Linked DNA regions of Astyanax mexicanus. The main gene of each other region encodes a partner of the protein of the gene in region 3 in a complex. Links are inferred from orthologs where the notes say so. Each region holds a gene or a part of one and is shown on either strand. Other genes may lie near its edges. The genes, in order: tubgcp5, nme7, tubgcp2 and tubgcp3.

Region 1 (7,544 bases), on a different chromosome or scaffold from region 3:
AGAAGTTCCTGGAGGTGCTGAACAATAGTCGCTGCTTTTCCTTCCAAAAGCTCCAGCTTATCCTAAATCTTTATTAAGTAATCCCATATGTGTCCCTTAATTGTTTTCACGTCTTTAATATTAATCTACAATGTAGAAAATAAATAAAAGAAAAACAATAAATGAGAAGGTGTGTCCAATCTTTTGACTGGTAGTGTATACTTTGCAGGTTTCTTAATGTTTTAAAGTAATCTAGTATGATTTTAGAGTGTTTTACCATGGTACCCTCAGCAGTAGGAAGAGGGGAGTTCAGGAATTCCTCAGTCAGTCGTGTCCAGCTCTCTGCTTTACACAGGTCTGAGTGCACCATGAGTTTCTCATATATTCTAAGAAATGCAAGAGGTGAACATGTTATCAGTTTGTAAACTAAGCATAGCTGGAAAGGTAAGAACATGTGTCTCTGGTAGTTTGTTTCTTCGGTAATAAATCTTATACCTTTTGAAAGCCTGTTAATTTCTCTTTAATTTGTAATGAACATGCATTTGTGGGATAAGCAGCAGAGCTGAGTATGTGTGTTGTGCCCGTGACAAATTTGCCATTCCTCTCTGCCATTGCCAAACAGCTCATCTGTCCTCTTCTTGACTAATTTGGTGTTTGACCATCTTCTTGGGCCGCTAACTTTTACAGACATCCCCTGTAGCCTTCAACTTAGCCTTTAATTTGAAGATGCTACTATGGCTCACTCCAAATAACGCTGCAACTTTTTTTTTTGGAACACCAGCTTGAAGTTGGCCTTCCACATGGTCCCTATCCAGATCAGACAAATGTAGCATGCCTATACTTTGAGCAGACACCAACTGACCACAGTAGCATAGCCCATGCTCACATGCACTGCTAATAAGGCAGCACCCGGGGGAACCAGTGGCTTAAAACAAGGGTTAATAGCAAAATAAGCTGTATAATAATAAGAATAAGAATATTTGGCCAATTTTTCATGCAATCCACATACTCAGCACTGCTGCTCATCCCAAAAGTATGTGTTCCTTAGAAATGTGGCTCCATTAAAAATAATAATAAAGAGGCTTTATAGTTGTATGAGATTTAATGTCAAGAAGTATTGTTACAACATAAGCCCTATCCAGATAGGATTAGTTTCTCAGGAGGATGTCTATGAAAAATATTTCATACTTTCACTTAGTGGTAAAACCTCTGCATCTGGAGTGAAATTGAAAAAACAGGAGGACCAGTGAGTTTTTTGAGACTTTTGCAGTCACATGACATCGCGTTCAGCAGCTCCTCCATTTCCATTCGCTGTTGTGTGGAAACGTGGAAACGTGCGCCCAACATGACAAATAGCTATGTTATTAAACGCGTCCGGATAGGGCTTAAGAAATAATCTTCCAAACACAAATCTCCTTACATTTTGTGTTATGTTTTAATTAAATTAAACACAATCTTATTCTCACCCATTTATTGAGCGCTGCACATTGTGGCTGCTGACATCCAGGAAACGGTGAAACCTGGCAAGATAAAGAAAAGTAAAAATCAACTCTTTAAGGACAATTTAATACAGTAAAAAACATATAATTACAAACATGAACAGCTTAAGAATACAGCCTGAGCCAAACATGTCCTTACTTGAAATTTGACCAGGCGAATTTGAGAGCCATTTGGAAGTTTTGGTCCTCTTCATCTTGAATGCCAGTCATGTGTGCTATCAGTCTCTTCACCTCCTGCTCCAGCTCCTTCTCAAATTTGGTCCAGTGAGCCATCCTGCAGACACTTAGCTAAGTTAGCTAACTAGCCAATTGTAAATACGATTTTAAAATTTTAAATTACTCTTATATCTCTTCCTACTGCCATTCTGGCTTCACAGGTCTAGCTGAGCTGATTCTGTAGGTTTTCACTACGTTCATTTTAACAGCGTGAACCTTGCTTACTATCGTTAGCTAAGTTAGCTAGCCAACCGCTTAGCATCATCATAACGGCGGTTTCAGTCATACAGCTAAGACCTAGCAGGCTATCTAACCCAGCGAGCTCAGCGAGCAGGTCCTCCCCTCACAGTATTCACAGGTGCTGCGGTTATTTCCCCCCTTTACTCAGTGCTTGCTATAATAATCCTGTCGCAGTTCAGTCTCGATTTAGTGAACTGATTCGCTGCTCATTCAGTTCAGCCCGTTTCTCCTTCTTGCCGCTCAGCCTGTTTTGATGCTCCTTCTGTGGTTAAACACGAACGTATCAAGCATTAGCAGCTCTATACCGCCTCCTAGCCAACCTAGCTATAACTGATCCCAGATACACTGAGGCCCATAGACATCTATCTTGAAGCCCAATCCCATTAATAGTTTGTACCTCTACCCCTTGTTTTAAACTGTAGCCCCTTCCTTTGGAACAGAGTTACAAGAAGAAGGGGTGAATCATCCTCCTCAGAATTGGATGAGGATTCAAGAACAATAGATAGCAATGGAGCGCTATATAAGTTAAGTAACCTAGCTGCTGGGACTCTTTATCATGTTTCAGTAAACCCTAAGTCCAATTATTCTTCTTTAAACCATTGCTAATGTTTAAACAAATGTCACATTTTTGTGGTTCCTGAAAAACGTAGAAGTTAAGCGATTATTTTGGGAAGGTTTTGGTATGCACCCTTACCTTGTCTTTATTAACCGACTTATTTTCTGGATTTGGGAATTTTGCCTATTTGTGAACTTTTGTGCTTTCATATTTTGCATTTTTTTGTTTTTCCAGGATTCTATTTTGTGTGCTTGTGGTCTTATTCTGTTTGGTCTTTGCCTGATGTTGGCACCCGCTTTGTGATTTTCTTATCTTGCTTTTTTCTCTAGGCACAGGCATTTTAGGTAGCTTATCTGATCATGAACTTTTGTTTTACCTGTAGTTTCTTCTCTTTTTTTGCTGATTGTGAGCTCGTATTTTAAAGGCTGCTGGCCTTTATGTTGTGTTTGTGTGTCTGCTAGTGTACTCTACAGTCTCTCTCTCTCTCTCTCTCTCTCTCTCTCTATCTCTCTCTCTCTCTCTCTCTGTCTCTCTCTCTCTCTCTCTCTCTCTCTCTCTCTCTCTCTCTCTCTCTATCTATCTCTCTCTCTCTCTCTGTCTCTGTGGTGTGGGCGTGTTTGTTCCCTCCCCCTCTTCCAGAAGTAGCGGAGCTGAGGGCTGTTGATAGTCCTGTGTGTACCGGGGGCGCCAGATCCGAGTGGATCGCCGAGCCGAGCGCTGCGGCAATGAAGAGGAGGCTTCAGAAGAAGTACATCATCCTCATCGTCGCCTACTCGGTCCTGCTGCTGCTCGTCCCGTACGTGCTGGACTACCGCGGTCACTCGGCTCACGCCAAGCATGCAGTGCAGCAGCAGAGGTGCCCCGACCTGGAGAACACTATGGCGCTGTGGAGCGGCATCGGCGGCGGAGCGGCAGGAGGAGCCGGAGGAGGAGGTAACGGTACGGAGGCGGCGGGCGAGGACGGCGGCATCAGGAACGACACCAAGATCCACATCTATCTGCACGCCACGTGGAGGACGGGCTCGTCGTTCCTGGGCGAGCTGTTCAACCAGCACCCGGACGTCTTCTACCTCTACGAGCCCATGTGGAATATGTGGCAGGCGCTGTACCCGGGCGACGCGGCCAGCCTGCAGGGCGCCGTGCGCGACATGATGAGCTCGCTGTTCCGCTGCGACTTCTCCGTGCTGCGGCTGTACGCGGGCGCGGCCAACGTCAGCACGGCGTTCGTGTTCGGCTGGAAGACCAACAAGGTGATCTGCTCCGAGCCGCTGTGCGCCGCCTACAGCAAGCGCGACGTGGGGCTCGTGCAGGGAGACGTGTGCGCGCGCTGCCCGCCCCGCGACCTCGCCGAGCTCGAGCGCGAGTGCCGCAAGTACCGCGCCGTGGTGATCAAAGACGTGCGGGTGCTCGACGTGGGCGTGCTGGCTCCGCTCGTGCGCGACCCCGCGCTCAACCTGCGCGTCGTGCAGCTGTTCCGCGACCCGCGCGCCGTGCACAACTCGCGCCTCAAGTCCAAGCTGGCGCTCGTGCGCGAGAGCATCCAGGTGCTGCGCAGCAAAAAGCACGCAGACCGCTACCGCCGCCTGCTCGCGCCCGGCGCGCGCGCCAACCGCGCCGAGAACTACGTGGCCAGCGCCATGGAGCTGATCTGCGACGGCTGGCTCGGAGACATGCTGCTCGTGGCCAACGCGCCGCCGTGGCTGCGCAGGAACTACATGCAGATACGCTACGAGGACCTGGTGCTGCGGCCCGTGGACGAGCTCCGGCGGCTGTACCGGTTCTCGGACCTGCCGGTGTCGCCCGAGCTCGAGAAGTTCGTGCTGAACATGACGCGCGGTCGAGGATACAGCTCGGACAAGCCGTTCCTTATCTCGTCCCGGGACGCCAAAGAAGCCATCTACGCCTGGAGGGAGCGCCTCAACGTGGAGCAGGTCAACCAGGTGGAGGCCTACTGCAGCGAGGTCATGCGCCAGCTGGGCTACCAGAAGAGGAACCCGGACCAGACGTAGAGTACAAGTAAGCAGAAGGAACCGTGGAGTCTGAGCATGTGTGTTTGTGTGGGCTGATGTTTACATAATTTTCACTCTAGTGTCTAGTAGAGCACTGAGGAGGATCTAGTGATCCTGGAGGGCTAAACTCCAGCACACTTTTGAGCTTTACCTGCTCAAACAAGCCCAACTTCATCCCACTCGTTTATTTTCAAATTTCTAGTGCTAGGACAGAGGAATCAGCATAAATCTGTGCTGGCCTCCCTTGGCTCCAAACCTCTGAATACCCTCGCTAAAAATACCATATGCTTGAATCAGTAGGCATACTGCATTGACCAGAAACAATAATCAAACATCCCACCAAGCTAGTTAGCAGACAGCAATAGCAATGGCATACATATATGGTGTGTGGAAACCCGAGCTAGTCTTCTATGTATGCAAAATTTGTGTGAGTGGCATATGCATCTATGTGAATCGCTTTTTGGGTGTGCTTGAAAGTTTTAATTAGGTCATGTGTGTCACACGGCCTAAAAATGGTTTAGAGATTTGCTCCAGTCATGATCTAACACATTTAGCTAGTACAGATAATAAACGTCAGCTTAGTCCTTAGAGACCTGCAGGTGGTGTACACCTGTGGGGACCTAAGCATACTTGTGTTTTTCCTATTCAGCCCTCTCAGACAAATTAAATATCTGTGTATATTTAAACAATTCAGCTTGTTTAGTTTAAATGTTCCCTGGTGGTAATAATAGTACTATATAATGACTGTATAATATCTGGGTAGTTTTGAAAGTTACAGAATAAACTGTTCACACCCACATAAGTACAGTCATTTGGATAATCAACAAGATATTAAATAATGAAAAGTCTTTGCACCAAACACACAAACATTGCAGTGTGTGACTTCACTGAAGTTTGACTTCAGCTTAATTACTGCTGAAATCTCCACACAGCTGATCCAATCAACTAGAAACACCTACTTACCTGGTACAGGTGAGCCTGGAGGTCCCAGAGGAGTGTACTGGGAATTGCTGGTCTGAAATGATGAGGTATGGTGACTGAGCATCATCATAGTGTAAACTAGAAGAGTGTACCTTTTAGTGGTTTATTTTTTATTTTTTGATACTGAAGCTTTACTATATTTTTCTATATATTTCTTGTCAGGAGAAGGGAGTAGGCTATACACACACATTCACACAGGGAGTACAGTTTTACTGCTACTCTAATCTTCACATCATTTAATCAGACCAAACAGACACTCTGTAACTTCTATTACAGTGCATGACAACACCACTTTCGCTTTCCTGTGTGTGTTGCGTGGGGAAAAGCAGTGTGGCGTGATACACACTGAGAGTCCAGCACTCCAGCATACAGCGCAACAGGCCACTGCTCTTATTATAATATGGTAAAAATAATCAGATCCCTGATCTCTGTTTTTCAAAGGAGATCACATTAAGAAGATTGAGCTGGTTTGTTGTCTATCCTATCAAAAATGAATGCTCTTTAAAAGGCTGTTATTGCATCATTTTGCTATTATATTATAAGATCAAATACGAGAGGATAATCACCCTAGGGATATGTGTACATAGATTTTGCATATGCCAAAATGGAATACTATCATACTAGACAGTCATATAGAAGTCCTAACAGTATACCAATATTAGTATTGTAGTTATTATTGCAGTATAGTAGTGTAATTTTTTTTATCAGTTGAAAAATACGTCAGTCGGACCAATTAAATTCAAATGAAGTCTTAAAAGAAACACCAATACTGGTTCACAGTTCTCCAGCAGACAGCAGTTCATGCCAACTATATACTATAACTAAAATGTTCATATCATAGGTCAGCATGAGGGTTTGCTTAAATTGCTGGAAGGTTTTCCAGGTCATCAAGTTGTCCAGCTGTAGCAAGTCCTGGTACGATTTTGGAGACGGTTTGCCAGGAGGCAGTCTGACAGTAAACAGTGTTGTTCCACCACCTCCATCAATACTACCCTGTGTTTATACACCATAGCTGTATATAGTTGTAGCCACAATTGTAGCCATTTTTGAATCGCTTGACTGACATCCCTTAACAAATCCATTGTTAGTGTTTGCAGAGCTGCTTTTGTTTGGGTTTTGTACATTTGTGTTAGTTTCTTATTGGCTCTAACAAAGAACTTTAGTGTTCTCATTTGAAATACCATATAAAGCATATTTAAACTAATATTACAGGTCCAGTCTTATTACTATTCAGTGTACACATTACCGTATGCTGTTTTCCCAACTGCCTGCCACCTCCTATTTTCCACAGAGTCCCATGGGAAGCGACTGCTCAGTAAAAAACAGTGCATGTGCTTTTTTGGCACAGTGGGATGAATCCCTCGGAGTTCAGAAGAGCTCCTTAATGTCTGTTCCATCAGCAGCATTATTGAACTAATCAGATTACATTACAAAAGAAGAGATTAAATCCATAAACAATGAACTAAAACAAGCTCCACACAGTATTTTGTAAAAGCTGAAAATAAAGAGGAACCAGAGAGAGGAGCTGTGATGCATAGATCAAAAAGTATTAGGTCAGGATAACGAGACATCTAACATCTAAAAAGAGCAGCATTTTCTCTCAGTTCCTCCAAACTCAACACTATAACATGACTGACAGGAAAGTTACGTTTTGTCGCAATATAGCAATTGTGAAATGTGGTAGTCAACATACAGTAGTTCAGATCATCATCATCTGCTTTCTTTATCTGGCAACCAATCAGGGCTAGAAGAGAAAAAAGGTAAAGGGGTGGTTTTGGAGGGTGGAGGTGCCTCCATATCAACAGAAAAAGATAAGAAAGTGAGCTATAAAAATAAACTGTGTACAATGGCATGCTACAGTTTAAATACCAAATACTTCATAGTTCTGTTTTTTTTCTGTTTGAAGTAAGGAGAAAAAAAGAAGTACCATGCAAATGTAAGGCACCCCCAAGATATTTGTTTATAATCATCATTAAGAAAGGCCAGATGATGAAAATTTCGGAATTCCTGCCTTGACAACCAACAGCCATTGGCTCTTCTAAACAACTGCCTAGAAGGGGTGTA
Region 2 (7,860 bases), on a different chromosome or scaffold from region 3:
AGTGAGGGCTGATAGTGGATGCAGGTGAATTATGGGAGTTGGAGTGAGGTCTAATAGTGGATGCAGGTGAATTATGGGAGTTGGAGTGAGGTCTGATAGTGGGTGCAGGTGAATTGTGGGAGTTGGTGTAAGGTCTGATAGTGGGTGCAGGTGAATTATGTGAGTTGGAGTGAGGGCTGATAGTGGGTGCAGGTGAATTATGGGTGCAGGTGAATTATGGGAGTTGGAGTAAGGGCTGATAGTGGGTGCAGGTGAATTATGGGAGTTGGAGTGAGGTCTAATAGTGGATGCAGGTGAATTATGGGAGTTGGAGTGAGGTCTGATAGTGGGTGCAGGTGAATTGTGGGAGTTGGTGTAAGGTCTGATAGTGGGTGCAGGTGAATTATGTGAGTTGGAGTGAGGGCTGATAGTGGGTGCAGGTGAATTATGGGTGCAGGTGAATTATGGGAGTTGGAGTAAGGGCTGATAGTGGGTGCAGGTGAATTGTGGGAGTTGGTGTAAGGTCTGATAGTGGGTGCAGGTGAATTATGGAAGTTGGAAGTGAGGTCTGATAGTGGGTGCAGGTGAATTAACATACCTCCATCCACAGTGTCATGTGTGTAAAAGAAGCACATCATAGAAAGCTAATATTACCATCCACCGGCTAGAATTGTCTGTGTGAACAGAGACTAGCGGCTCTGAGAGAAATTTAGATTCCTTATCCACATTCAATGCAGGAGACCCCACCCACATATCATACAGCTCAGTGCAGTTCTCTTTACCTAACATGAAACATGCCAAAAGTCATGGGACACGATACTAGTTCCTGCCACATTACTTTTGGCAGTTGAGTGTGTAGACGGCCTAGGTACCTTGCAGGAGAAGGACATCCAGGCTTTAGTATTAGGAAACTCCCTCAGCAGCCCCACTAAAGCTTCCACCTCTTTAAGGCAGGGTATGGTCTCCAAGGCAATGAGGTCGGCTTCTGCTGCCACTAAGCAGCGGACCTGTGGGCGGTGCCAGTCCTTCAGCTCCTGCAGTGACAGGAGCATGGGGTTTGTGCCGGGTCTGAGAGTAATTAGCTAGCTATTAACTCCTGTATGAACAAAGTGATTTATTCAGGCTTACCTCCACACTCATCTGGCTCTGATAGTTTCCAGTGTACTCTGACCCATCGTTCAAAAACGCCCCGTATGGACCCACAGAACCAGCCACCAGTGGCACTGCTCTGTCTGTGAACGTTTATCAGAATAAAAAGTTGTCAGTGAACATAATCTACAAAATTAAAGGAACAGTATGTATTAAATGACAACAAGCATATACAAATATCTAATGCAGTATAATTTTAAAACACTAGAGAGAGTTGACTGCCACTAATTCTCCTCCACAGACTGCAGGGTTGAAAGCAAATCAGTGCAAGATGAGATCAAGTATAATCATATTCAAAGCTAAACTGAGTCAATATAAATTCAATTTTTTGTTTCTGTTGTATCTTTGTGTACATTAGTCTCTGTTGAGTTAACAGCTGTGTCCCGTCAGTTTACCTTAAATACATGACTGCCTTGATAACCCAGCTGCACTCAGCTGAGCACTGAGTATAAATGCTGTGAAAATGTTGAAATTATCTTAAATGCTCATCCCTGAACTAGCGGTTGTGACAAATTACCCAGCTAATGTTAGATGAAATTCAGCACTACTCTGTTCTGAAGAGAATTAGCAGTATCTGTCTTGTAGGCAGAGCGTGGGGCCAGAGGCTAAAAGACAGAAATATTCCACCTTGTGTTTGGCGGTATGACGGTATTTCGGTACACCACGGTTTTTTAAACATGGTGGAAAAACTTCAATACCGCTCAACCCTAATTCCACCCAATAACAAACAGTTCTAAGGAGATAATCCTAGAACTTAAACTTAGCATTAGCTTAGCATGTTACTCGATCATGCATCCAGTCTAATTTTTCAGTTGCTACAAAAAATAATACATACTGGTCTTTTAATGATCTCAGATAGCCTCACGATTTTTTAACAATGTCTGTCTGCCTCTGAAAAATATTCTGAATCTAAATTAAACGGCTATGCTAACACACACACCTGCTGCTGTACAGTTAGTGGTAAAGAGCGCTGCAGTGTCTTTAGCGATCTGAACTCCGGATATTAGTAACTCCTCAGCCTGTTCAGGTTTCAGCTTCAGGTGTTTGAAAAATCCCTCCAGAGTGGCCTGGTACGTAGCTGTGGTGATGACATCAGATCCACTCTGAAGAAACCTGCGCGCAAACACAGACACACACAGAGGAAACAAGCTCATCATCATCCTCACAGTCTGACTGCAGATTCAGACACAATGAGGGAAGAATGAAACATGCTGGAATTACCTGTAATGCACATCTTTAATGGCCTGTGGGTCTGTGTAGAGGACTTTAGCGCTCCATAACGGATCCTCCTGCAGAAACATGTCCCAGAATAAAAAAAGATAATGCTTTATAAGTCCCACAGAATCATAATCAAATACTAATCCTTTACAGTGCTATGCAAAAGTATTCGGCCCCCTTGAAATGTTTAACGTTTTGCCACATTTCAGGCTTCAAACATAAGATATGAAATTGTTATTTTTTGTTAAGAATCAACAACAAGTGGGACATAATCATGAAGTGGAACAAAATGTATTGGATATTTTAAAATGGGGCGTGCAATATTATTTGGCCCCTTTACTTCCAGTGCAGCAAACTCACTACAGTAAGGATCTCTGAATGATCCAATGTTGACCTAAATGACTGATGATAAATAGAATCCACCTGTGTGTAATCAAGTCTCCGTATAAAACCTCTGTGATAGTCTCAGAGTTCTGTTTAAAGGGCAAAGAGCATCATGAAGACCGAGGAACACACCAGCCAGGTCCGAGATACTGTTGTGGAGAAGTTTAAAGCCGAATCTGGATACAAAAATATTTAATAATGAATAATATTGCACACCCCACTTTTCAGTTTTTTTATTTCTAAAAAAAGGAAAAAATATCCAATAAATTTCGTTCCACTTCATGATTGTGTCCCATTTGTTGTTGATTCTTCGCAAAAAATACAATTACATATCTTTATGTTTGAAGCCTGTAATGTGGCAAAAGTTTGAAAAGTTCAAGGGGGCCGAATACTTTTGCAAGGCACTGTATCCTTATTCAATGTTTTTCTTTTTTTCTTTTTTTATTTATTTTCTACATTGTGGATTAATATTAAAGACATTTGGCTTCCACAATCCCCGATCTTAACCTGATCAACTGAAATGGTGATTTGGCTACTTAGAAGAATAAAATAGAAGTATAAAACAGATAAAAACAGATTCTGGTTTGTTTAACACTTTTTCTTAACAAGATAATTCCGCATGTGTTCTTGTATAGCCCTAATGTCTTCAATATTACTGTAAATAATACAATATAACTGTATTATTGTAAATGAAAAATAAAAAGTGAGAATAACTGCAATTATGCAATATTATTTTTATTTTATTATTTAAAGTGTTTATTTGACCATATTACCAACTAAACACTTTGCATATTCAGCTTTATTTTTGTATCATATTTGTAATTATTTTAAACCACAATTTAACAAGCTGGATCACTGACTTAAGGTACAAATGTGTTTATTATTTTTATACTGCTTGTTGCAAAAGAGATACATATTACAAGGTCAAAAATACAATCTGAACTATACTAAATACTTAACATACTACAACCTAAATAAAATGAAATAAACTTTTAAAAAGAAAGTCAACATACAAGAGCATTCACATTAATGAGCTTGCTATACTAATTGCGACCAATGAATAATCTTGAGGTCTGCAAAAATGATTGAGGTTATGTTTGTGTATTATATCATAGTCAATAATTATAGTGACAGGCCTAGTAGTGATACTGCACACTGTTATGGTAACAGATAGTGGTTTCAGATGTTTAATGCTTTAGATTTCATATGTATACGAATGTAAGATTGAGACCTCTACAACATTATTTGACAAATGTGACCTTGTAATATGTATCTCTTTTGCAACAAGCAGTATAAAAATAATAAACACATTTGTACCTTAAGTCAGTGATCCAGCTTGTTAAATTGTGGTTTAAAATAATTACAAATATGATACAAAAATAAAGCTGAATATGCAAAGTGTTCAGTTGGTAATATGGTCAAATAAACACTTTAAATAATAAAATAAAAATAATTTTCTGCCAGGTTTTTGTCGGGTCTGAACACTGATTATAGTTAATGTGATCAAATAATTCAGTATCATATTTTCTATGTTCTGTTGTTTTTCCTGTTTTTCTTAATATGTTCCCTGTAACACACCCCTGGTGTATTTTTTGGTTCTATTCTCCTATTCTATGTCTGCTTCTCTAAAGCTCTCAGTACCTGTAGATAAAATCCTCTTTCCTCCAGTTCTGTAGCCAAACCCCCGTCCAGTATCAGAGGCTTGCTGGTCATGCTGGTCTCCTGATCGGCCTGGGTTTTGATATACGAACTGTTTAAGATTTTAAACTCTGCTTCTCCTCGCAGTCAGTCTATAAAACACACAATATATGGATGATATTCATAATTATAACAGTAAAATATAACTAATTAAATATATTAATATCAAAGTCTCACTCTTAACTAAGCACTTACTGTAACTGCAGCTCATACTGTCCTCCTCTGCTCCAAACCTGTACTAAAATCCGCAGAATAAATATTAATCTTAATCCCATTTTAATCATAACAAAGTCCACGTGTGAGCGCCGGTCATACTACGAGCTACTTCCGGTGTTCTGTCGAGTTGTGCTACGCATCGACATGTGCTACTTAGGGGCTCTCCGCATGCGCGACCAGATTTTAGTGTAGCTACTTATTACTTCCAATTTTAACAAGCAGATTATACTATCTGAGTTTACTGCGTTAAAATTAAGTCGTTAATTAAGTCGTTAAGAGAAATGTAGTCACAGCTGGTGTTTGTTTGACTATTGTATAGATTCAGTGAGGTAAACTAAATTAGTAAATGAGTGCTGTAGACAGTGGTAGCATGTTAAAATAAATAAAGTATTTGAAGTACTTAATAATAATTTAAGATGTAAAAATATTGTCTATAATTCAGATTTTCTGAGCATTCAGCCCGTCTAAATTTCCTGTTTCTTGTTTTATTTAGCCAGCTTTACCAAAAAATTAATTTGCAAAAAAAAATGTATGATACATGTATGATATATGTATCACACATAACCTTATCTGTTCTTGCAAATTAAGTATTTAAAGAAATATACATTAGGGTTGCAGACTTTCGTAAGGTAGTAACATTTACTGAATAACCTTAGTAATACAAACTAGAAGGAAACGTGTCTGTTTGTTGGTATAAATATATTTATTTTGTTATTTCGTATTTAATTATTATTATATATTATTTTAAATACAACTATTAACTGACATAAATGGACTTTTATTTCTTGTATGGGTTTTTGTTGCTAGGAGACAAGGCTGATAGGCACGCTGTGGGAGAAGCAGTTTTAGCCCTTAGCTGCTAAACAAACAACAAACCACCTAAACCAGCCCAGCCCGAGGATACTGGAGAGCCTGGATTGCGAGAATGGTACATTACATTACTGCGGGAGGGGAGCTGGGATGGCATGTTCGGTACTTTAATCGCAGTTAAAGAGTTTATAATTTTATTTCCGGGTGGATTAATAATCAGCGCTAACACTGGCTAGCTGCAGCTGCTGCCAGAGCGCACGCCTGTCTGTAGCACTGTTGTTAGCTATCTTAGCTAGGCTAGGTTAGCTTAGCTATAATAGCTGCTTGGCTAACTCGCTGAAATTTTACTGTTTGCTCCATATATTTGCCATAACTGGCACTAAATGCTCTGATAAATATCAAATTACTTCTGCACAAAAGTTTGTTGTAAAAACTCGCACTGCCACTTATCTGCATATTTACACCTTCTGTAGTTAATCTAGCTTACTGTTTATGAACTTTATTCATTTTTACCAAACCTATTACAGTGTTACTCATGCTGCACAGTAATGTTCTTTAATATTATTCTACTGTATATGTTATTTTTCAATTCTGTGTATTACTGTCTACTTGCACTGCTCTTACAGTTCAACCCTTGTTCTGCATTGCTGCTCCTAGTCTATGCTGCATTTCTTTAGCAGCTGTACAGCTCTGGAAAAAATAAGAGACCACTTCAGTTTCTGAATCAGTTTCTTTGATTTTGCTATTAATAGGTAAATGTTTGAGTAAAATGAACATTGTTGTTTTATTTTATAAACTACAGACAACATTTCTCCCAAATTCCAAATAAAAATATTGTCATTTAGAGCATTTATTTGCAGAAAATGAGAAATGGCTGAAATAACAAAAATGATACAGAGCTTTTAGACTTCAAATAATGCAAAGAAAACAAGTTCATATTCATAAAGGTTTTAAGAAATCAATATTTGGTGGAATAAACCTGATGTTTAATTACCGTTCGATGCATCTTGACATGTTCTCCTTTACCTGTCTTACACAATGCTTTTGGATAACTTTATGCCACGCCTGGTGCAGAAATTCAAGCAGTTCAGCTTGATTTGATGACTTGTGATTAATTTGGTAAAATTAAAGAAACTCATAATTTTTAAGTGGTCTCTTATTTTTTTCCATATATATTGTTACTACGTACCACCTGTTATGGTTACTACGGCACTTAATGTAACTAACACTGTATATTACACTTCTGGTTAGATGCTAACTGTATGTCATTGGCTCTGTACCCGTGCTCTTCACAATGACAACATTTAATCTAATCTAATTTAATAAATAGTTGTTTAAGGTCTAGGTAGAGCTAAAATCAGAAATCAGGAATATTAACTTACATAATTCATGTAAACCAACATTATGTGAAGTAAATAATGCTCACACATTAAAAAGGCCTAGATGCAGCTCATTCATTTTTCCACGTGAACTAAACCTCCACTAAAATCTACAGAATTAATATTAATCTTATAATTCCAATTTAATTATAACAAAGTCCCCATCATAATTCCACATAATAAGAAGCTAACATAAGTAATTATACATGCAGTATATGAATGAATAATGCTTGTAATTAGTACAGGAAGAAAAGCCTTTAGACTTTTTTTTTTCCAAACCTTTAGACTTTTTTGGGTTCATTTTGAGACCATAAATGTAGGCTTACGTTAATCCTAATAGTGCTCAACAAAAGCTTTGTTTGACCAATTTGCAAATTCCATAATACAAAAATGTTGTTATGTTGATAAAAAGAAAAAACATGAACACAAATCCAAATAATAATAATATTAATGTTAATGTTATGTTAATGTAATGTTAATGTTAATGTTAATATTAATAATAATAATAATAAGAACAACAACAGTAATAATAATAATAATAATAATAATAATAATAATAATAATAAGAAGAAGAAGAAGAAAAATCTTCCTAGAGTTTTTGTTATAAAGGTTTTTAAACAGGACGTGCAGCATCTTAAACCAAAAATAAACAGTCTAGGTTATTCTGATTTTGTGTTAATTAAATTTCACTAGCAGGAATGCTAGCAGCTATATGTTTTTTTTATATGGTATTATCAATGAAAGAAAAGGCTGTAATACACTTATTTCTCAGCTCGGGTTCTCTGATAATAGTGTGGGACTGTTCATGGGTTGCCACTAGATGTCAGCTATACCCTATTATAAACACAGCTACAGGTTGATCAGCTTTGTGGTTTTGTATTAATACCAGGTGCAGTAGTAGTTGACAGTTATGGATATATTAATTCTTTTTTTCTCTTTTTTTCTGTGATTGTTGAAAGTGTTCATTAGAAATATATATCTATTTTCCGAAGAATCACAGACAGCCAAATATCTGTAGGTCAGTAGT
Region 3 (7,066 bases):
TAGTGTAGCTGTATTTTCCAACCTACCCTAAAAAGAAGAAATGCGCAATCATCTTTTATTTGTGTCAGAGAGAGTGAGGGAGTAAGTGAGAGACACCGAATGAGAGGGAGAGAGAGAATGCTTGAGAGTCTTCATCACAGCGGTGCTGATACAGTTTGGAGGAAAGTAGCGAATGGCTTGATAGGTAGTTTGCTGGATTAACGTTCATGCTAAACAGCGGGTTTGACACTGTAGAAAACTAAAATGGAGAAAAGTACAGCAAACAGTATAGCTATGGATCAAGACATCTCTATTACAGAGGGAAGTCATCCCTTCTACTAACCGTGTGATTGTGGAGTAACAGGATGCCACTGGTAAGACCCGGTTTACCAGCTCCTTAATAGACATGTCCAGAGAAGGGTCTACTATGAAGGAGCGACTCTGTCGGCCAAGCACAGGCTGGGCTGTGACGTCTCTTCCATCCACACCAATAAGTACGTACAGCAAGTCTTCAACCAGAGCCTGCTCCTGGACAGGCAGTGGCATTGTCCCTGTGAAGACATAATTAATAAACAGATTTTTATCTAAGAATTGTAAAAGTTAAATTAGGTTGAGAGAGATAATGCAATAATGAACCTGCCTAAAAAGAGAAGAAAAACAAAAAATATAAGCATGCAGGCTGAGGGCTTGCATGTGTTCCCCTATAAGCACATAAACACTATATGCACTACTGGCATGTAGCATTGCCAATGGCAGACTATTTTTACTAGTTGTGATTGCACTACACTAAACACATGAAGTTCATGAGCTTACCAATCGCCACAACTGGATCCCCCATTGGTGTAGGACTGGTCATAAAATCTCCAATAAGTGCAGGTCTGTCATACACCCAGTTTGGAAACACAGGAATAGGCTGTGTGGGATTCTTCTTGTTGTGTCTGTCTCTTAGCATCTTACGAATAACTTCAGCAGACTGAAAAATAAAACATTTCAAAGTCAGTCTGAGCAGCTTAACATAGATTTATTATACAATACCATTGCAATGTTTTATTTTAGAGAGGATTAAATGTTGTTTGTTAAATAAGTAAACACCTGGGGAACATTGGTGCTGGCTGTTACATTCCCAAGCTTTTTGCGCAGTTCCTCCAACTCCTGCATTGACATCTTGGTGCTGGTGGTGGGAATACTGAAGGATGTTGTGCTGCTTGATGTTGCATTTGCAGACATCTCTGATCTCTCCTTGGCATTTTGTTGCAGACATTTCAGGGTCTGGGACCAAACACATTTCACATTCGTTAGGTAGGCGTCAAAAAAAAGGTTAATGCAAATACATTACAATATCAGGCAAAAATACATTTATTAAAAGGGTACCTCTTTATCTTCTGTGAGTTTTGAAAGAAGGTAAACAAGTGGATCCAAGTTGCGTGCATTTTTTGACTTCAGTTCTTCATATTTCCTCAAAAAGTCCTCAGGTGTTTTAGAGTGCTCTGCAATCTTAACCTGTAAAAAGACTGCAATTTTAAATCATAGAGCAGCAAAATATATATAACTTACTGTTGACTGAGCTCTTTAACCAAACAACGTATACAGAAAACTTCCAGACATTGCATTATAGCTAATTTTACTACAACTTAAATCACAGCTTATATGCATTTTATTTAATATCCCCATCCCTACCTTAGCACTGTGTGCAGACACTGTAGTGGTGACATATGGAGTCCTGTTCTTCTGCAGTAAATCAATATAGACCTCAGCCCCATCTCCTCCTCGAACATGAAGGAGGCTGAGCAGTTCGTTGACATCATGATGTATCCTGAATTCACTCATGGTGTCACATCGACCACCTGCAATAGCCTAAACATTTTTTGGGGTTATTTAACAACAATTATATGACTTTATCATACATTCTTCTTCAGCTAAAAAAAAAAATCGATAATTGGGGTTATTCAAGAAAAAAAAAATCTAATTCACATGGGAGAAATTTTGAGACCACATTACACTTAAAGAAAATATAAGCCAGGTTTTCCTAATTGCCACAAAATGTACAAATACTGCAAATCAGAAATTCAATGATTTCAGAAATCTTAACCCCCTATGGCATGAATTACATGTTTCTGGAGGAAAAGATAGACAGAACGATAGAACGATAGAACGATAGAACGATAGATAGATAGATAGATAGATAGATAGATAGATAGATAGATAGATAGATCGATAGATAGAAATACAGACAATCTGATAGTATGGAAAAGTGTAATAACCAAAAAAATGGTGTGTTGCCTCAGAGCAACTTTATGTCATAGAGGGTTCAATTGTAGCGTCATTTCTTCTACTTTACTTCAGATACAGTATTGTTAACAGAAATCAATCATGCTTTTTCCCAGTGAATATTTTCAGTAAAGGAATTCCAATAAAATCCCAGCATTTCTCATATTGTACAGTATTAGCAGCTACGACAGAACAGCTCACTGGCTAGCTGGTCAAAGTTAACAGCTTAACGTTACATACCGTTAGAAAACATGGAGCATCAACAGATTCAAAACACTGCGGGGTAGACAGCTATGGTTACCCAACTAGCTAGCTAAGTTAGCTAAATTACATCTAAATTCATTAGAGAAAATGGACACAAATGGGTTCGCAGACTGCAAGCAACACATTAACTTTGGTCAGTTGTTTCTAGCCAACAAACATAACCTAGTTAACTGGCAAATATAGCCAATGTCCTCAGTTAGCTTAGCGTAGCTTACTTAGCTAACGTTACAGCAGCTCCTCTGCCTAACTTTAGCATTAGCTCGTTAGCTGCTAGCATCAGTGAAGGCGGAGGGTTTATTTGACCAAAAACAGGCTGTTGAGTAAAAACAGACATTTAATCAGCTGAAACGCGTCTTAGCGCACACGATATATCTGTAATAAACATTAGAAAAACAGTCAGCCTTACCTCAGTTGCAGAAGCGCGCAGCTATCGTGTAAATAACACTGACATTGCTAACTAACAAGATATCAGAGACTCTTATTATTTTTTCGAAGAACCGCCAAAACGACCGCCGTTACAAAATAAAAGTCTCTTACTTGGAGGATAAAAAATATAGCTATATACTTGAGCTGTTGGGTAGGTAACAGCATGTGCTGCTCTGAGCAGCTGGGAAAATGATAAACAGATGAGTGGGGAAATAGAGGCTAAATGAGGAGATAAGGCTGTAATTGATTAAGTAATTACATTTACAAAGGACAGATAATAGATGAATGATATTAGCTAAGTTACATAAGCAGAGCTCCCCAGAGAACATCTCTTTTAGTATCACAATTTTCCATATTTGTTTTTCTACATGATGTTAATTGTTAAATGTGTTTGTTCTTTACAAATCCTGAAAAATACTTTAAAATATTTGAAAAAAAAGCTTTAATAGTTGAAACATAAAAATACATTACAAAGAGATGGAACTTGGTGTATTTGGTCTAGACAAGACTGCAGTTGCAGTAGAGATTAAGATAAATAACACTGGGCTTTATCTATGCCTGCTACAGTCATCTGCAGTTAATGTCTACAAATTACTAATAATGCTTCTGATTCAGTTATGACCTGACTACAACAAGCTGGATTGACATTTCTGCTGCCTCCAGTATATTAACTTTACTTGGATATTACAGATACTGTATTATTTACAGCATGAGTTGTTTACACCTATGAACACCTTTCCAGTCTAATCTATAAAACCCACTACATTTTTTTCATTTTGGCTGAAGAACCAAAACAGCACAGAACAACTTTCTTAACACCAAACTAAACACACTTTACTGAATTACCTGTTGTTTTCCCTTTTGCTCATATCTTAAATTAGGCTACGTCTACATTAAAAGCCATATTTCTTAAATCAGATTTTTTGCTCAGATCGGATTTGAAGGTTCACAATCACAAATGTAAGTGCCTGTATCTGTGTGTAATGTCAACGAATCTGTCCCTGAAACGTCTCACATGCGCACATTGATACCTGTATAAACGTCAACTTCACCAACAACAAAAAAACATCATATTTAAGAGACGACTCGTAGCTTTATAAAGGTGAAATGGCTGCTTCAGCAGCTCATATGTGGAGCATCTTTTGCTCAAGTGGAGAGCAAACAGCTCATTTGAAGTACATGCTCAGGTCAAGAAGGTGAAAAAAGGGCAGGCGGCTTTCTGCACTAAGAGATGTGTTGATACGAGAGAGAGAAGCAAGTAGCGCATGCGTAAAAGAAAAAAGATGCATGAAATCCGATTTGACCATTCACAATTATGTCGCATGTCTATGGATCAGATATGTATTCTATTTAGGACCACATATGAAAGTGACTCAAATCTGATTTGAAAAAATCTGATTTGGCACGTTCACACAGCCATGAAAAAATCAGATTTGAGTCACTTCAGCCTGGTAATGTGAACATAGCCTTTAGAGGCTTAGGATTAGTGTTAGCAATAACATTATCAGTGTTCAGTATTGACTTCCACAACTGCACAGTTCAACATAGGACACAAATCTATATAAGGCTAAATCTTTGCCTAGTTGATATAATAATGGTAAGTTATCAAAACTTGAAAAAAAAAACCCACAACACTAAAACAACCACCCTAAAACATCTCTTTCAAAACAAACTAACATCACAAACTAAACTGAAAGTCCTTTCTTATTATCATCTATTACTTGTTTACTAGAAGCTACCAGTAAAAGCAGCCACCAAGTTACTAACTCACTAACGGCCTCTTCAAAATAATACGCTGGAAAAACTGACTGCAGTTCCAACATAAGTTAAGTTTGTAAAAATGTTTCATAAAGAGATCAGGGTAGAACATTAAAACCACAGATTTCCCTACTATAACTGTTCTTTCCAAGTGTTTTCTTGTTGAATTTATTGGTTTTATACATTCACAGATTGCAACATTTCCCAAATGATTACATGTCTGTGAAAAGGCCATGGAAGTTATATAAGGCACAATCTCTGCCTAGTTTACAACATGATGGTTAGTGGTCAAAACCAAACAACCACATAAAAAAATTAAAAACTAACACCACAAAACCTGCTTGACAACCCTCCAACCCACTTTGATGATTCTGCCATTTAATGCAACTCTCAGGTGTTAATGATGAAGACATGAAGACAAGTAGTTCAAAAGCATGTAACTATTTTATTAGAGCAAGCTTTCGCACATTCTACCTAGCATCTGTTACACTCTCAGATCTATGTAAATGAGGTGTATTGTGGGGGATTGATTTGTTCTTCAGCATCAGACTGTATGTCAGAGCTGAGCTGTGAATAGAGAGCAGTCTAATATCTGTCCCAGAGCACAATGCATCACGCTACCTCCTGGGACGTTTCTCAGTAGGATTAATGACTCACCGCCAGCATTACAGAGAAAAAAAGGAAAAAAATGAAGTGCCATCTCACCAATTCATTCCACATCCCACATGACGCCCCCCCAATGAGCTGATCTAGTCAGTCCCCCCCAATAAATTATGCTTAAAAAAACACAGACAATGGAAGAAGAATAGAGCTGACTTTGTTGTGCCTCAGTCAAATCCCAAGATCTTGCTAAGATGATTATTAGGCATATCAATGGTAAGAAATGAGAATCACAACAGTGAAATTAATAAAACTTCTCTATCAAATGCTTGTTCTTCCCTCAAATTAAAAATGAAAGTCGAACTTAATAAAGAGACCTCGAAAACATAAAAGAACCAATGCTCCGTGGACATTAATATGCGGGCAGAAAGGGTTTCCTGACATTTTTATGTACCTGAATTCAATGCCAGTGAAATACACTAAGCCTTGTGGTTCTTAATCCTGGTCATGAGACCAGAGTACCTCTGCTTGTTTTAGTGTTTTCCTGCTGTGGGTGTAACCGCTGTGACTCCCCACAACTGTGATATATATCAAGCATACCCTGCACATAAACTTCTGACCACAGCTGTATACTGACCACTAATTTATGTTGAAATGTCTGTTTAGAAACATCCAGGTCACTTTTCTAGCCGTGCATTTTCCAGGTAAATACCTAAAGCATAATCTATGATTTAGCAAAGAACATCAGGTTAAAATGACTGATACAGGCTGTGAGCAGCATGGTTGGAGGAGTGATGGAGTCTGCAGAGTGTCCCATCACTCATCTCAGTATTACTACAGAGAAGACCTGAGATTGACGATGCAGGAAATTAATGCCCTGCAAAAACTGCTAATGCCATGAAATTTTACATAAGCTTCCTGAAAGTTGATATTTGGCCGCACTGTGTTAAGAGTGCTCTACTCTACGGTGTTTCAGTGAGCTTGGCAGTTTTATACAGTTGGAACAGGAGAGTCGGTTACACAACTTTTTTATAAGACAATTTCCAGGACATTTGGAGAGGGTTTAGACATGCACTTCTTCATCCATCTTCTACATATTTAGGCTCTATTCTTTTTGCTCTATAGTTATAGAACTGTTTGACAGTTCATACAGCTTTAGGCTTCCAGGCCTTTAACCTATTCTTCCAACAGCTAATAGATTTTTTCTCTCCCTCCCTATCATTGTCATGTAATGATTTTGTAGTTAAACCCTTTTGACATTGAGTTGTTGAGCAGAGATGTATGAAAGAGGACCGAGACAATTCTCACTTGAAGCCATTCTGTTTCATAGCAGCCAGTCTGCCATGAGTAATAAAGGGCTTTGCAGGTTGCAGTAACCTTTATTATGACCCAAATGTCATTAAGGAGGTACTTATTATCCACTTGAGTTGGCTAATGTTTTGTGAAGATGATAAGCATTGAAGTATTTGCCATATTTTTACCTGACCTACCTTATCAGCAACAGAATAGAAGCACAGATCAGTGGTCTTGCAATTGTTTTCTACATTCTATAAAAAATAAAGATGAACATACCAATGGCTGTAGAAAAGAATGGACTTTACAGCGTCTTTCAAAAGTGAAACCACCACAGTTCCAGCCCCTCTGATGACTGCACTGTAACCAACTGCTGATTTTTTTTTTTACAGTAAAATCATACAGTAAATAACTGTTTTTTTTCGTTGAAAAACTGTAGAACTGTGAACTGTACAGTAGTCTAAGACATTTGGTCTAG
Region 4 (6,826 bases), on a different chromosome or scaffold from region 3:
CAGAGACCAGGAACTCGTCCCGCTCGATGGTCGGGGCGTAATTACTTCCGATGACCCGCACAGCATACTGAAACTGGTACGCCACATCAGCTGGAAAAAAGAAGGTCAGAGAACTCAGTGACGCACGTGTTAAACATCCCAAAGGCACCTTTTTTCTGTCCCCAATAAAAGACAAATCAAACATAAAAAGGTATAAAGCTAGACGCCATGTCAAATAAGCAGACATACTGTAGCTAACGTAATCAATACTGCATCCAATGATGTTAAATTAAGGGCCATATATGGGGTCTATATTTATCCTACAGGCATTTATCTAATCGTTTTTACCTCATTTTCTGAGGAGGGTCATATTACTGAAGAGCTTTCAGAGCAGAAATCTCTTTACTGCTGACATACAATAGTCGATAATGCCAAATGTACTGTCCTGTATGGAAACTGACAACTTGTAATATAATTATGAAACTACCTTGAAAGCAATATGTGCCCAAAAAAACAAGGGAGTAGAAATAGTGAGTGTCCCACTTTTACTGTACCAGTACCAGTCTCTACTCTTCTACAACAGATGGGCCCAGAGCATCCCTTTCTATTGCCAGTGCTTTCCTTAAAAGTTCTCTGGACTGGTAGATGGAGTGCCATCAGTCCTGATTGGTCCACACAGTTCCTGTACTTCACAACTTAGGCTGCTTTCACATTTAACTTGTGTAAAAGCAAGTGTAAAAGGTGCTGCAAATCATGGTGTGGACCTTTAGACCAAAAAAGGTGGTGTTTGTATCAATTGGAACATGAGTTTGGTTAGTTAGTAGATGTTTTAGACTTTGTCAACCATTCAGCAACAGAAGAAGCAAAAGAACTGGTGCTGTGCCAAAATCCTCCGACTCCATCAGAACTGATTACACTGGCAATCACTGTATCTACTGTAACTGTACTTGCAAACAGAGATAAGTGATCTGAGGCTAATCAGTTACATTCATTCTGATGTGGGACGTGCAGGCAGGCGAAGGGACGCTGAATTCTAGCAAAAGGATCTGTAAAGGCATCTCGCCTAATTAAAACATTATACAATCAAATTGTAAAAATAGTAGGTGACGACAACGGTATGCAGCAAAGTTATTTATTTATTTAGTCTAGAACCAAAACAAAGCAGGCCAAATGTATGTACACATAAACCTTGATTCAAATTCTGGTCCAGATTCATACAACTTTTAACCAATAAATTTTCACGATTTTTTTCATGACTTTTCTATGCCTTCAAGACAAATTTTATTATGATCAAACGATTTTTAAAACATCACTGAATGCATAAACAATAAAACCAAAAACAAACTAAAACTATAATCAAATTTGGATTATAGTAGGCCTTAAATTAATCTGACGCACAACCTTTAATAGTAAAATGCATGTCAAATCCTAAGAGCACCATTGTGTAGGTCTAAATTACTTGATTTACCGATGTATTTGTTAGCTCAAAATAGATTTTCTCTGTTCATAAATGGAAACACAAAAATGTGTAGATCAAATTTCCCTGGCTGTTCCAAAAGGTCTGGGTGTTTTTATTTTTCCAAAACTTAACAGCTTAGTTCCTGCAGCTCATGCCTGGCTTTTGAGCATATCTAAATTAGTCTTGCATGCAAATGTTTCAGTACTTCCCAGTGTGCTGAAAATACCTTTACTCTTCAAATCTTCAAATTAATGGTTGGCATTAGATCTGCCATGAACATAATAATATTTTTGAATTGTTATACAATAAATGGACATGCCCTTAATAATATTAGATGATTGTGATATAAAAACAGTGAACAGTATTTTAGTAACGACCAATGCAGAAGGCGCAAAAAAGAGGATATATATTTTCCAATCTAAGATTAATTAACATTTTGTAGTCAGTGGCACTTATATGGTCTTAAAAAGACAATAATATAATTTATTGCAATATATCATCCCCACACACACAAAAAATCATCATGACAGGCCTAAATGGCATTATACTCCATTGCATCCTTTTCAAGTGACACTACTTGTTTTATATACGCCAGAATCTCTAGAGAGGTGATTCTCTGCTCAGGTAAAAAGTTCCTGTAGAACAGGTGACACTTATGAGCATCATATTCTATTGCCAATGCTTTTTAATTAAGATTATACAAGCTGTGGCATCCTGAGATGACTAGATGAGTCACTGATTAGAAGGTGTGTCTGCACTGAGCACTGTATTTTTTTTCTCCATCACTCCATTCAAAGCAATGCATGCATGCATGTCTAAATGGCAGCGTTTGACTCCTCATGTCAGTGTATCTTTACTGCTTCTCTGATTCAATCTGGCAACCTGGGCTAGCTTGGACAAGATAGGTTGCTAACTAACTAGCCAGGATAAGATGCTTGAGATATGGACCACAGCGGGTGAGAAACTAATTAGCTAACTAGAGAGAAAGATAGAAAGATAGCCAATATATGCTTTTAAACATTATAAACTTTTAACTATTACATTTAATATTAAATTTAAACTATTACAGAGACAGTAACCTAGCTAGCTAGTAGAGATTCTCTTCTCAGCTCTGTTCCCAGTTATCATTTGCAGTTTTCTCGTTTTCACAAAACTCTTAAAGCAAGACAGCGATAAACAGCTCATTAATGGTCAAAAATGGTCCAGCTGAAGAAAAACGACCACACACACACATTAAACACGAAGCAGTCGTGTGTTTTCAGACAGCTGTGCGGTGGTAAACGCTGGCTATAGAGGACCTTATTCAGGTTAGCTAGCTTAGCTCCGCTGCTCGTTACCTTCGCTCTTGCCTGTGATCCTGCAGCACAGGCTCTGCAGAAGCACATTGGGCGATTTCTGGTCCAGAGCCGCCATCCTGCCCGTTTTCTGGATGTCAGAGACGAAGCGCAGGGGTCCGGGGGGTCTACCTTAGTCCTGCCCGCTCTCCTTATTCCTCCAGCGGCTCGCCATTTTAACACAACCCGCCGAAAAGGCGGCCTCGGTTAGAAACGGAGCGGGAAAAAAATACACGGCGGAGTGAAAATACGGCCCACTGAGAAACAAGCGCTCATCGAGGGTTCCGAGCTTTTCGTTCCTACCGATAAAAGAACATCCAGACCACTGTGGGATAGGTTATAATGAATTAATCAAATAAATAAATACACACAGAAAGCATAAGTAAAGACACATAATGCATTTAGAAACTGAAAAAAACTGTTATGAAAAAATAAGATTTTTTTGCTAATGATACTGCTTATTATAATTGATGCTTATTATGGAGGTCCACAATATTTATTTTTATGAATTTCCAAATTTCCGTTTTTTAGAAGGGCAATATAACCCAATACATTAAATGGCTTATTCCGCGTCATTTTGTCAAGTTACTATTAAATTACAAGAATTACAAAAAATGAATAAAATAGATAGCTAGAAAGGTTTTAATGGACAGTGACAATACCTGTATCAGTCTGGTTTTTGTTTTGCCCAAAACTAAACTAAATATAAAACTAACTAAATATACAGAGTTTAATCACATTTATTTGCACGGTATTTTAGATGCTAGTAAAAAAGGTGAAGCATCTGTTTTCTACATTTTATGATTATTAAATCACATTGGCTTTAGTATTAGTATACTTCTATAGTGTATATGTACAGTAACAGTTTATGGTTTGAACACACCTTCTTATTTAGTGTAACTTTTTTCTTTTAATTTAATTTTAATAAAATTTACTTTCTAAATATTCTGGTTTGTTTAACACTTTTTGTTTATTAATAATAATGATAATAATAATAATAATAATAATAATAATAATAATAATACTAACAATAGTTCCCCATTCATGTAAAGCTTTAATGTCTTAATATTAAATTAACAGTAAAAAACTTTTGACCGCTACCGTATACTTATATCTGCATAACATATTTTTTATTGAATATGAGTTTAAATATTTAGTCTATATATTAAACTTGCGGCTCACACTGCACCATTCTGGAAATGCGTTGCATGATTTGCGGTATAACAGTTATGATACGTTTTTCTGTTTTAGCAACCTAGATAAACACATACATTGTACATTACATGTGTTACATGTGTACAATACATTGTACATTACATGTGTTACATGTGTACAATACATTGTGTTCACATTAAATCTTTTTCAGTGTTTATATTTATAGAACAATTAAAACATTAAATTGTATTAAAACTAGACTTATTTTTTTCGGCAAGTGATTTGTGTGAGATGCTCTAAAAGAACATTTAGAGTATTATATTATTATATTAAACATTAATCAAAAGTGATACGAAAAATACATGGGATGTTGGAACATTGCTTGATTGCAGTAAATTAGTTTATAATTAGTGGATTACATGCTCTGAAGCTCACTCCAACACCTATACTGGCCCAGCTACTGTACTGTATTATGGAGCTGCTTATAAATACAGCATCTTGCTAAGTTAGGGCGGGAAGGAGGGTGTGGGAGTGGCTGGGAATGCGCATGCGCCTCGAGCCCCCCGTGACGCTCCTGGAGAGAGGGCTGTGATTGGTTGTGCATGGAGGGCTAGTACTGGGGTGAGAGCATAGACTGTGTATGGGTGGGAAACAGAGAGAGAGAGAGAGAGAGAGGGAGGGAGGGAAAGATAGAGAGAGAGAGAAAAGGAGAGCGAGAAAGAGAGAGAGAGGGGGACAGGACTCGGCAGAGCCGCTGGAACGCAACACTTGTCCAGGAAGAAGTATCTAGCTAGCTTGCCTCCTTCAGCACTACTCGAGGAGGGCTGCTGGAAGACTCGGAGACTGAACGGCGGTCAGCGGGGCGGTGAGCGCACGGAGCCCCGAGACAACATGAGCAAGCCCGGACTCGCCGCTGCGCTCTCACCGCGACCTGGAGAGAAATAAAGCCCCGGTCAGAGCCGTGCAGCCCTGCTGCTGTCTCAGTATCAGTGTGTATCAGTCCCGGCGGACACAGCAGCAGAGACAGAAACAGAGACATGGAGCAGCAGAGGAAGATCAGCTAGCGATTCACACACCTCTCTATCAACACACACACTCACACACCGCGCACACACACACGCAGCCTGAAGAAGATCTGAGGAGCAACACGCAGGCGGTGGTGTTGACCGGCAGGAGAAGATGGATTTTAGCACCATTAGGAACCTCATCAGCAGATACGTGAGTAACGTTAACGTTACCTACTTAACCTAACCTCGTTAACCGTTACCTAGGTTAGTTAACCTGTTCAACTTGTTGGTCTGCCCCTTCTTTCTCTCCGTCTTTCTCTTTTCTCCTTTTTTCTCTCTTTATTCTAACGTTACTCTCCTGAATGTGAATGGAAGCAGGAGGACTGAAGGCTGAAGCTGCTGCTGCTGCCTGTTAATTAACTAACGTTAATAAATAAAGCCCTTTAAACCCCAACGTGGACACCATGTTTCTCCAGCTAAAAAACAGCAGCTAGCTAGTTAGTTTACTAATAAGTAAAGCCGTTTAAACCCCAGTGTGAGCACCATATTTCTCTAGCTAAAAACAGCAGCTAGCTAGGTTATCGTTAACTAACCTAATTGATATACACACAGCACACAGCTAATTAATGTATATCCATAGCTTTAGTAACAAATTGAGACAGTCATATGCCAGGGTTTATTATGTAAATACTAGAGAGAGAAAAATAATAAAGACAGTGGTAGTAGTAGTAGTAGTAGTGTAGTGGGCTACTACTGTAGGTTATATATTAGCAGCTGTATGTAGCTAGGTAACCAAGGTAACCCAGGTCAGGTGGCTAATGTGTTTTAGCTAGGTTATCTAGTTAGCTAATTAGCTAAGTATGGCTGGACGTTATTGCCAAAATTGATATCATGATAAAATGTTAACTAGCTACAGTTTCCGTTATAAAGAATATAATCAAGAGGAAGAGGGATGATCACAAGCCATCAATCCAAGCTGAACTGCTTGAATTTTTGCACCAGGGGTGACATAAAGTTATCCAAAAGCAGTGTGTAAGACTGGTGGAGGAGAACATGCCAAGATGCATGAAAAAAAAACAGAATTATTCCACTAAATGTTGATTTCTGAACTCTTAAAACTTTATGAATATGAACTCTTTTTATTTTATTTTTTGCATTATTTGAGGTCTAAAATCTCTGCATCATTTTTGTTATTTCAGCCACTTTTCACTTTCTGCACATAAACACTCTAAATGACAATATTTTTATTTGAAATTTGGGAAAAATGTTGTCAGTAGTTTATAGAATAAAACAACAACAAACAAATACCTATAAATAGCAAAATCAGAGAAACTGATTTAGAAACTGAAGAGGTCTCTTGATTTTTTTTCCAGAGCTGTAGGTTAGGTGACTAATGTGTATTAGCTAGGTTATCTAGTTAGCTAGTTAGCTAAGTATGGCTGGAAGATTTTGCCAACATTCATATCATGATATAACATTCTAGCTAAGTACATTAATTGTTTTTCTTTATTAAAAAAAAATGGTCTGCATTGTAGTAAAATATACTACATTTTTACTACTATTTAGAAAAACATATAAAGTGATTTAGAGTATCTGAGTAATGTTCTAATTCATATTATGGCAAGTACAGAAAAGAACTTTAAAAGTATTCTCGAGTGCAGTTGCAAAGACCATCAAAAATCAACAATCATCAGGACCGCCCCAAAAAAAGAGTCATGACTTCATTTATATGAAAACTATGCATCCCATGAAAAAGCTCTGAAAATTAAAAAGTGATGATTTGTCACGCTGTGACAATTTGGCAGAAATGTAATAAGAAGATGTGAGAAGAAAACGAAGGAGAAGAATGTCAGTTGAATAATAATATACTGTAGTTTGCAAAAGTCCTGGGA

What was found.
Region 1: tubgcp2 (region 3) and tubgcp5 share a complex: the UniProt entries of both Homo sapiens proteins name them as parts of the gamma-tubulin ring complex. The link is inferred for Astyanax mexicanus from reciprocal best matches to the Homo sapiens genes TUBGCP2 and TUBGCP5.
Region 2: tubgcp2 (region 3) and nme7 share a complex: the UniProt entries of both Homo sapiens proteins name them as parts of the gamma-tubulin ring complex. The link is inferred for Astyanax mexicanus from reciprocal best matches to the Homo sapiens genes TUBGCP2 and NME7.
Region 4: the proteins of tubgcp2 (region 3) and tubgcp3 are in contact, whole or in part, in a cryo-EM structure (PDB 8Q62), measured with the Homo sapiens proteins. The link is inferred for Astyanax mexicanus from reciprocal best matches to the Homo sapiens genes TUBGCP2 and TUBGCP3. Residues at the interface, in NP_006650.1 of Homo sapiens: Gln172, His173, Pro175, Ile176, Phe177, Pro178, Trp180, Arg184, Ala186, Leu187, Ile188, Gly189, Phe191, Leu222, Tyr223, Val226, Val228, Asp229, Gly230, Arg231, Glu278, Ser281, Phe283, Gln287, His290, Ala291, Ala294, Arg297, Val300, Lys301; in NP_006313.1 of Homo sapiens: Glu272, Asn273, Cys274, Ser286, Leu287, Asp289, Thr290, Val292, Arg293, Glu296, Trp299, Ser361, Thr363, Leu364, Arg365, Leu368, Val369, Tyr372, Lys375, Ile376, Lys379, Ala382, Ala383, Asp386, His387, Ala402, Tyr403, Lys405, Thr406, Gly407.

The regions. Positions count from the first base shown.
Region 1 is NC_064412.1:18,779,510-18,787,053, forward strand, and holds the start of tubgcp5 (gamma-tubulin complex component 5), read right to left. Parts: upstream 3,004-7,544; 5' UTR 2,867-3,003; intron 1,753-2,866; 5' UTR 1,752-1,752; coding exon 1,618-1,751; intron 1,500-1,617; coding exon 1,446-1,499; intron 366-1,445; coding exon 257-365; intron 1-256. Other genes in the region: chst7 (carbohydrate sulfotransferase 7), read left to right, coding at 3,216-4,499. UniProt on the Homo sapiens protein: Component of the gamma-tubulin ring complex (gTuRC) which mediates microtubule nucleation.
Region 2 is NC_064412.1:46,691,454-46,699,313, forward strand, and holds the start of nme7 (nucleoside diphosphate kinase 7), read left to right. Parts: upstream 1-4,843; 5' UTR 4,844-4,973; intron 4,974-5,241; exon of another isoform or gene 5,242-5,335; intron 5,336-5,451; 5' UTR 5,452-5,569; coding exon 5,570-5,572; intron 5,573-7,860. Other genes in the region: zgc:172121 (homocysteine S-methyltransferase YbgG), read right to left, coding at 852-1,013, 1,108-1,211, 2,069-2,241, 2,350-2,417, 4,372-4,443. UniProt on the Homo sapiens protein: Possesses an intrinsic kinase activity. Displays 3'-5' exonuclease activity with a preference for single-stranded DNA. Does not seem to have nucleoside diphosphate kinase activity.
Region 3 is NC_064422.1:23,249,638-23,256,703, reverse strand, and holds the start of tubgcp2 (gamma-tubulin complex component 2), read right to left. Parts: upstream 3,012-7,066; 5' UTR 2,918-3,011; intron 1,834-2,917; 5' UTR 1,807-1,833; coding exon 1,657-1,806; intron 1,480-1,656; coding exon 1,351-1,479; intron 1,249-1,350; coding exon 1,072-1,248; intron 953-1,071; coding exon 793-952; intron 531-792; coding exon 323-530; intron 1-322. UniProt on the Homo sapiens protein: Component of the gamma-tubulin ring complex (gTuRC) which mediates microtubule nucleation.
Region 4 is NC_064428.1:26,418,654-26,425,479, forward strand, and holds the start of tubgcp3 (gamma-tubulin complex component 3), read right to left. Parts: upstream 3,011-6,826; 5' UTR 2,852-3,010; coding exon 2,776-2,851; intron 91-2,775; coding exon 1-90. Other genes in the region: atp11a (phospholipid-transporting ATPase IH), read left to right, coding at 5,107-5,145. UniProt on the Homo sapiens protein: Component of the gamma-tubulin ring complex (gTuRC) which mediates microtubule nucleation.